2 linked regions of the Caenorhabditis elegans genome follow. The protein of the gene in region 1 purifies or fractionates together with the protein of each later gene. This does not show direct contact. Each region holds a gene or a part of one and is shown on either strand. Other genes may lie near its edges. The genes, in order: nhr-166 and lron-12.

Region 1 (3,924 bases):
AGGAAAGCGGAAGTAAATACCAGAAGCCCCTATAGGTACTACTAAATGTTGTTGTTTGAAACCCAAACTACAAACTACAAACTACATTATGACTTTATATGTACATATATGAGTAACTCTCAACAGGTTTCTTTAGTTCCTCACTTCAAAATGATGTAAGAACGGGTCTTAATTAAAACTTTTAATTAGCTATGTATTTCTGTTTTTTTTCTTTATTCTTTGACAAAAAAAGCATAACCTCTAGGAAAATAACATCAGGAATCTGTTATTTTTTGATTTTTTTCGCTCCGATTAGCAAATGTCAAATTGTTCCTCAGACGCCACGTACTTTGCCTCCCCAAGTTTTCTATTACTAACAACCCGTATTATTACTTGCTTCGAAATTCCAATATGGATATTCGGAGCCTATTGTATTCAATTCAAGACACCCGAGAAAATGAAGTCAGTGAAGGGGCTCATGTTGAATGTGCACTTTTGGAGCACGATTTCTGACTTGACGATTTGCTGTATCGGAGTGCCGTATCTTCATCTGCCATGTTTAGCTGGGTATGGGCTCGGGCTGGTGCAGGCTCCAGGGCCATTGCTTTATTTGGGATTTACGTTTTTGGGAGGTGTGTTGAAGTTTATATACATACTTTAACTTTTCGAAAAGACTGGAATTTTACTCGAAATTTTATGGTTTGTCAGCATAACTACAAACTACAAACTACAAAAAGCTCATGGGGAGACAAAGTTCTTACATAATTTTATAGTATTCTGACCATAACAGATTGATCAAAACTGACTAACTTTTTGTAGTTTTGTAGTTTGTAGGTTGTAGTTTGTAGTTTGTAGTTTACAGTTTGTAGTTTCTAGTTTACGGTCTATAGTTTGTAGTTTGTTTTATGATTTTTTCCAGCCTTCGCTGTCTCCATCATCGCCGTCTATGAAAACCGCCTCCTCACTGTCATCAATCCTACCTCTCGCTGGCACAAGTTCCGAAAGGCCTACCTACCGCTTATGTGCCTATTCCCTCCCACCTACACCATACCGATTTTCGCTTCACTCCCTGAGCAAGAGCATGCTCGTGAACATGTCTTGAAATCCATCCCATGTCTTAAAGTGTTTTCTCTGAATTTTCAGGAATTATTCGTTTTGACTCTGAAACCAATTGTACCAGCGATTTGTGGTGTATTTGCAGCGAGTATCGCAATTTTCCCGATTGTAATATTTTTCACACTAACTTTCCGGCAGCTTTTGAAAAGACAGAAAAACTATAAATACTCCTATCGAACTGTGAGAGTTCAAAAAAATTTCCTAGTATCCATGTCATTGCAATTTGTTTTTATCATGACTTTTATGTTTATCCCCTGCGTGCTTTTACTGTATATTGTAATTTTCAAGTATCACAATCAAATTCTCAATAACTTTATTATAATTTTGTTCTCATGTTTTGGAACCGGATCTACTGTTGTGATAATATTGGTTTATAAGCCCTATAGGGAATTTGCGTTTTTAGTACTTACATGTTCTAGGTCGAGAAAAGTTGAAAATGTTGTTGTACCTGCTATATTAACTTGAACGAATAAATTTGTAGCAATCAAATTTCTTATTATCAAGCAGGAATTTAATTGGGATAGGCAGGCAGGTAGGCACGTATACCTGAAAAGTTGAGAAGCTAGATTTAACGATTAAAGATCAAAATCAAGAACATTTTATTATATTTCAGATTTTCAACACATGAATGATTTCAAGCTTTTCTGTTTTGGTTTAGTGAAACGTGTGATTATATCCCGCCGACTATGTACCTGAAGCATGAAATCAGAGTTATCATTACTCCTAGCTACAACTCCTTAGCGTATATCCCTCGCGTGGGCGGAGCGTGAGCCAGTTTTTGCTTATAAAACTAATCTTATTTATTGCTCCGTGAAGCAATGTCCGAACCTCCGAAGAAGCCATTTGCTTGTGCTATCTGCCGAAACAAGTCAAGTGGATGCCACTATGGGGTAAGTTTTCCTTGTTGTAGGTTGGAAGGTTGGTAGGCAGGTAGATAGGTAGGCAAGTAGGTAGAATATGAGCAATTCAGGCATAATGCATAACTATGAATTAAGATTAATCTCATAAGTTTAGGTACTGTCATGTGATGCTTGCAAGATGTTCTTCAAACGAACTTATTTGATGGAGAAGTACTATACATGTAGAAGGCAGGAAAGTTGTTACAATATGGACGGTGGGAACAGTGAGTTAAAAATTTTTGAAATAAAAATAGTTCCGGATAATAAAAATAGTTCCGGAAGCTACCAAAATGCATTATACATCTAATATGCATAAAACACTGCATGTATTACACATCTCAAATTGTATTTTTGTTCAAATGTGTAATATAGCCCTCTGCAGGCATGGTGCATAATCAACGTGTTCATTTGTGCTCATTTGTGCCTGTGCTCATTTTAACTTCCGGTCCCACTTTTGATGTTTTTTCGTGATCACACGTACCTGTCTGCCAAAGCGTGACTATATTTATCAAACAACCGGAAGTTCACCTAGAGTTTGTACATATTCTTTCTAAGATTATAGACACATCTTTGGAAAAATGTAAGATCTCGTTGAACTTTGAAACGGATCATTTTCGAGTTTTGTTAGATGTTTGATAAAGTTTTGGTTTCTGTGGTTTTTATAGGCGCGATCTGTAGACACAACTGTAGGCACAATTTTTTAAAACTTTTCCAGGAAAATGCAAAGCGTGCCGCTTCAAAAAGTGCCTGGAAGTTGGGATGAACCCTGAACTATTTTCTCGCTCCGAATCTCAAATAATCTCAACAAATATCCCCACACAACTAATCACTCAAGACCATCGAAATGCTGAATTTCTGCAAAAGCTGAAAATCTTGGACAAGACTCGCCATGAAGTGTTCAAGATTATCGACACCTACGAGAATCCGAGTTTCGTAGATCTGGTTCGTCAGGAATCCCGACTCAGTTGTTATCTTAGGCCGGTAAGTGCATATATGAAATGGCGAAAAAACGTGTGTTTTCAGAAAAATATAAGCTGGGAAAATACAGAACGAAAGTTGAAGCCTTGGGGATCTCTGGGCATGCTTCTCGCTGTTGAAACTATCAAATCTTTGGATTTTTACCCTAAACTTTTGCTTTCTGATAGAGTAAGTCCTTACTTTACTCGAGGCTTCTATGAGCTAAAAACTTTTAGATTCTTCTCCTGGAAACCGTCACTCTGAAAAGTTTCCATCTCTCCGTTGCCTTCGATTCATTCTCGCAGAAAAAGGAAAAAATATTGGCGCCCGATGGGTCGGAAATGTTTCCAGACTCGCTTAACAAAATGGACTTTTGTAAGGATCTAATTATGAGATTATTGACAACACCAGTTAAGCCGTTGATTGCAATGAAATTGACTGAAACGGAGTACCTGCTGCTGGGCATCATTGTGATCTGTAATCCAGGTGAGGAGGGAGCCTACCTGCCTGCCTACCTACCTATGTACCTACATTTTCTTTTTCAGAAATCGACGGCCTATCCCCCTCGGGAAAAGCGATAATCACCGCATTCCTCCAAAAAACTATTAATGTTCTTCTCCAGTTCTGCCTCATCAACAATCCTAGATCTGCTCCTAGTCGACTTTTAGAGATAATTTCTATCAATCAGATCCTGAATCGGCAGTTCCACGCAAGCTACAAGCTATTTGATGCTCTGCGGAAACAATGGGACCCGACAATGAGCTTCCAAAAAGTTTTGGTAGAAAGTTGCAAAACGAGGGGATATGATTTGAGTTAGAGACAATTATTATAACTTGTCCTTATGATTTGAAATCTATTTTAGTGTGTAGAGTTTGTTCTAATAAAGTTTGTTTTTCTGTTTGTACATCAAACTTATTTGAGTGATCAACCGCAGACATCAGGTCCAAAATAACAAAAATGAAAATTTCTAGTA
Region 2 (3,924 bases), on another chromosome or scaffold:
ATGTTTCTACATCTATTTTGAAAAGTAAGAAAATTCTATGAAAATGTCTAAAGAAAACGGGATAAAAATTTCAAAACGGCACAGTTTATAGTGTTTCCGTCTAATAAAAAACCTTTCAAAAAGTTCCGGCAAATTGGCAAACCGGCAACTTGCCGAATTGCCGAATTTGCCGGAAAAACATTTACCGAATTGCCATTGCCGCCCACCCCTGTTTTAGGTTAGTGTTTCCGTCTTCTAAAAAAGCTCTCTAAAAATTTCCGGGAAATTGATATCCGGCAATCGGCAAATCGGCAAATCGGCAATTTGCCGATTTGCCGAATGGCAATTTCCACCCCTGACTCAAACCTCTCTATTTGTTTTTAAAAACTCTCAACTTTGGACTAAACTTTTTTCTTACAAACTCATTTTTCGGTAATTTCCCCCATCACAATACGCTTTCTTCAAATTCAATTTTCTCGAATATATATTCAGAATATCGCCGGAGGCAAAGAGATAATTAAGTGACTTCTAGACTCCACCCCTTCCGATTTCACTCTTGATGAGCTCCGCGAGCCCAGGCCATATCGCTTTACACCTTCAAGTATCCGATCTTCAGATAGAATTCCACATTTTATAAAAATATTGTGTGATAAGGAGGATCGAGTGAGAAAGATAGAGATAAAGTGTTCAGTGTCAGTGCACACATGTTAGTTTATCATTTCTCTTCGTTCTGATATCAATCCACTTTTCAAACACCCTTTTGACATTAGACGTGTGCCGCTCTGTCACTTGTTGGGTGGTCCATGTGTTTTATTGTTTTGATTTGAGATTTACGAAATTTAAATGACAATTGGAAAATTTCCTCTGAAAATCAAAAGTTTAAATTTATTCTGGTTCACTAAAAAATTAAAATTTTTAGGCAAAAACATTTTGTTTTTCGATCTGATTTTTTTTTTTTTCGTGTATTTCGTGTTTTTTTCCGCCAAAAAAATTTCTCAGAAAATTTGAATTTTCAGCCAAAGTGTTCTCCCAAAAATTTGAACTTCCCTGAAAACATAGTTTCAGAATTTTTGAATTTCCCGCTAAATTATTTTTTAGAAATTTTGAATTTCCCTGAAAACATAGTTTCAGAAAATTTGGATTTCCCGCCAAAATTTTTCTCAGAATTTTTGAATTTCCCGCTAAATTATTTTTTAGAAATTTTGAATTTCTCGCCAACATATTTTTTCTCAGAAAATTTGAATTTCCCGCCAAAAAACTTTTTTCTCAGAAAATTTGAATTTCCCGCCAAAATGTTTTGTCGCAGAAAATTTGAATTCCCTGCCAATAATTATTTTCTCACAATCAGAAAGTTTGAATTTCGTGCCAATATATTTTTCTCAGAAAATTTGAATCTCCTTCCAAAAAATTTTTCACAGAAAATTTGAATTTCCCGCCAAAAAAAATTCGCAGAAATTTTTAACTTTCCGCCAAAATTTTTTCGCATAAAGTTTGAATTTCCCAACTTATTTCTCTTGTTTCCGAAATAAAATTTTTAACGTTTCAGAGCTGTTTAAAACACTTTTTTGAAACTTTTAGAAACTACCATTGCAAAAACAAACTGGAATTTTTTTTTAAAAAGTGGCTCTGAAAATCTTAACTCATTTCCTCTCCCTTTCTAATCCAATCAAATCATGAGTCATATTATAACATTTTAAAACTTAAAACTAATGTTGTTTGTGTTGATTCCATCTATGCCCCCATCATCATCTAGTCATTTTTTTTCAAAAACTAAAAAACTTGTTGTGCTCATTTTTTACGAGCTCGGAACACACAACTTGTTGGTGTCCCCCCCCCCCCCCCCCCGTAAACATGCTCATTATTTGAGTGACACATGCTCATTTGAGTAAACATGCTCATTATTTGAGTGACAAGTCATTGGAGTCACCTCATTAAATGTGTAAGGAAGGGCTTCCAGGTGCGATGTCAGGGCCTGACGCCTGCCTGAAACCTGCTTTTTTGAATTTTTTTTCGTGGTTTTTTTTTAAATCTAAAAAATGTACTTTTTTTCAGATTGATCTCTGATGATTTTGTTGTTAGGAACGACGTGTTAATGCTATTCATTCGAATAATACTCAAATGAATCTTTTTTCCGATGTGCAAAAATTCAACATTTTTATTTGGAAACTATTGATTTTATTTCATTTTTTGAAATATTCAAATGCCCTCCGAGACACTTGTCCGATGGGATGCCAATGCGATGAGGACAAGCAACAGGTAAATTGAAGGCCTGGCGCCTGCCTGAAACCTGCCCGCCTGACGCTGGCCTTTTCCCTTTTTTTCTGCGTTTTGACGTGAATTTTCAAATTTCAAATTCTCATTTCTATAAGTTTGATGAAGATCAAGTTAAGGCGCGTATTAAGGCGAGAGGCAGGCGGAGGTCGCCTAAAGGTCAAGCAGGCAGGCAGGCGTTTTAACGCCTACACGGAAAACCTATACTTGACTTAGTCTCAAAAAATAGATCTTAAACTCTCTAATTTCAAATTTTTTAGCTTGCTCAAATTTCAAATTTCAAAAACCTTCTCAAATAATGATTGAGTGACAAGACTGATATATTTTCAGGTGACATGTGAAGGGCAACAAGTTGTAACTCTACCTGACAGGCTTCCGTCTGGATATGAAAGCCTCGTCATCAGAAACTCTTCTGTCCGAACAATTGAGAAAAATTCGTTTCGAAAAATGGAAAAGTTGATGCAAATTGAATTTGAGAATAATCCGAATCTTGGAACAATTGAGAAATTGGCATTTAAGGGGCTGAAGAAGATTAGGTAAATAAATTGATATTTCAAAAATAATAAATTCATAAGAAAAATTTATAAACTTACATATAAAATGGGCAAACCTGAGAAATCATAGAAACAATTTTCAACACTTTTTCGAATTTTCGGTCAAAAAATGACAATTCCTGAATTTTTTCGCATATTTTAACTATGCTTCGAACATTCCGAAATGCTCTGAAAATTTCTTGCAAATCGGCAAATTGCAGGAATTGAAAATTTCCTGCAAATCGGCAAATTGCCGAAATTGAAAATTTCCTGCAAACCGATTTGCCGATTTTCCGTTATGCCGGAAAAAATTTGCCGGAAAAAATTTGACAGCAATTGCCTAATTCACATTCCGCTAAACAATTGTATGTTTTCAGACTAATAAAATTCACCACCTGCCCCGGATTAACAGAACTCCAGAAGAACGCATTCAGTGGAATTCAAAATCAAATGGGTCTCAAGATAATTTTCGAAAAAACTCCGATTCATCGAATCGACGGGCACACATTCCGAAATGCACAAAATATTCGAGAGCTGACAATTTCTGGAGAAGAATTGGCTCTTTCTAGGCACTGTTTTGCAAATATCAATCAGGTTTGTAGATTTTTTTTGTTTAAAATTAAAAACTAAAAATATTAAATTTTTCAGCTCGATTTTCTCACTGTTTCCGGAGTTGTGCTCATTGAGCCCGAGATATTCACAAATTCGACGCGTTTCCACGTGGTTCACTTTAAAAACTCTCAGTTCGACATTCCACCGAGCACATTTAGCACCTTGTCACATACATCTCATGTAAGTTTTTGTGATTTTTGAGAAGATTGTCTCAAAATTTTTTTTAATAATAAATTTAAAAAATGGCTTTTTTTTCAATTTTGCAAAAAAAAATTTGAATTCCCGCGCATATGAATTCCCAAGTTTTGACATTTTGCGACGTTTTTCGGAGAATTCGAAGAAACTAGAAAAATTATCTGAAAATGTTTTGTCACCTCCCCCGTCTAAGCCTAAGCCTAAGCCTAAGCCTGAGCCTAAGACTAAAACTAAGTCCAAGTCTAAGCCTAAGTGTAAGCCTAAAAATTCAACCGCATCTAAAGAATTGGGCCTGAAATAATTTTTCAGAATTCGCTAAGAAATATCGATAATT

What was found.
Region 2: the proteins of nhr-166 (region 1) and lron-12 fractionate together in Caenorhabditis elegans (co-fractionation; one large-scale study listed by BioGRID). This does not show direct contact.

The regions. Positions count from the first base shown.
Region 1 is NC_003280.10:3,878,332-3,882,255, forward strand, and holds nhr-166 (Nuclear Hormone Receptor family), read left to right. Parts: upstream 1-1,913; coding exon 1,914-1,985; intron 1,986-2,109; coding exon 2,110-2,218; intron 2,219-2,709; coding exon 2,710-2,975; intron 2,976-3,017; coding exon 3,018-3,140; intron 3,141-3,187; coding exon 3,188-3,437; intron 3,438-3,496; coding exon 3,497-3,768; 3' UTR 3,769-3,844; downstream 3,845-3,924. Other genes in the region: srh-250 (Serpentine Receptor, class H), read left to right, coding at 299-611, 899-1,560.
Region 2 is NC_003281.10:12,116,589-12,120,512, reverse strand, and holds the start of lron-12 (eLRR (extracellular Leucine-Rich Repeat) ONly), read left to right. Parts: upstream 1-2,031; 5' UTR 2,032-2,097; coding exon 2,098-2,235; intron 2,236-2,580; coding exon 2,581-2,786; intron 2,787-3,160; coding exon 3,161-3,377; intron 3,378-3,431; coding exon 3,432-3,575; intron 3,576-3,777; exon of another isoform or gene 3,778-3,854; intron 3,855-3,924.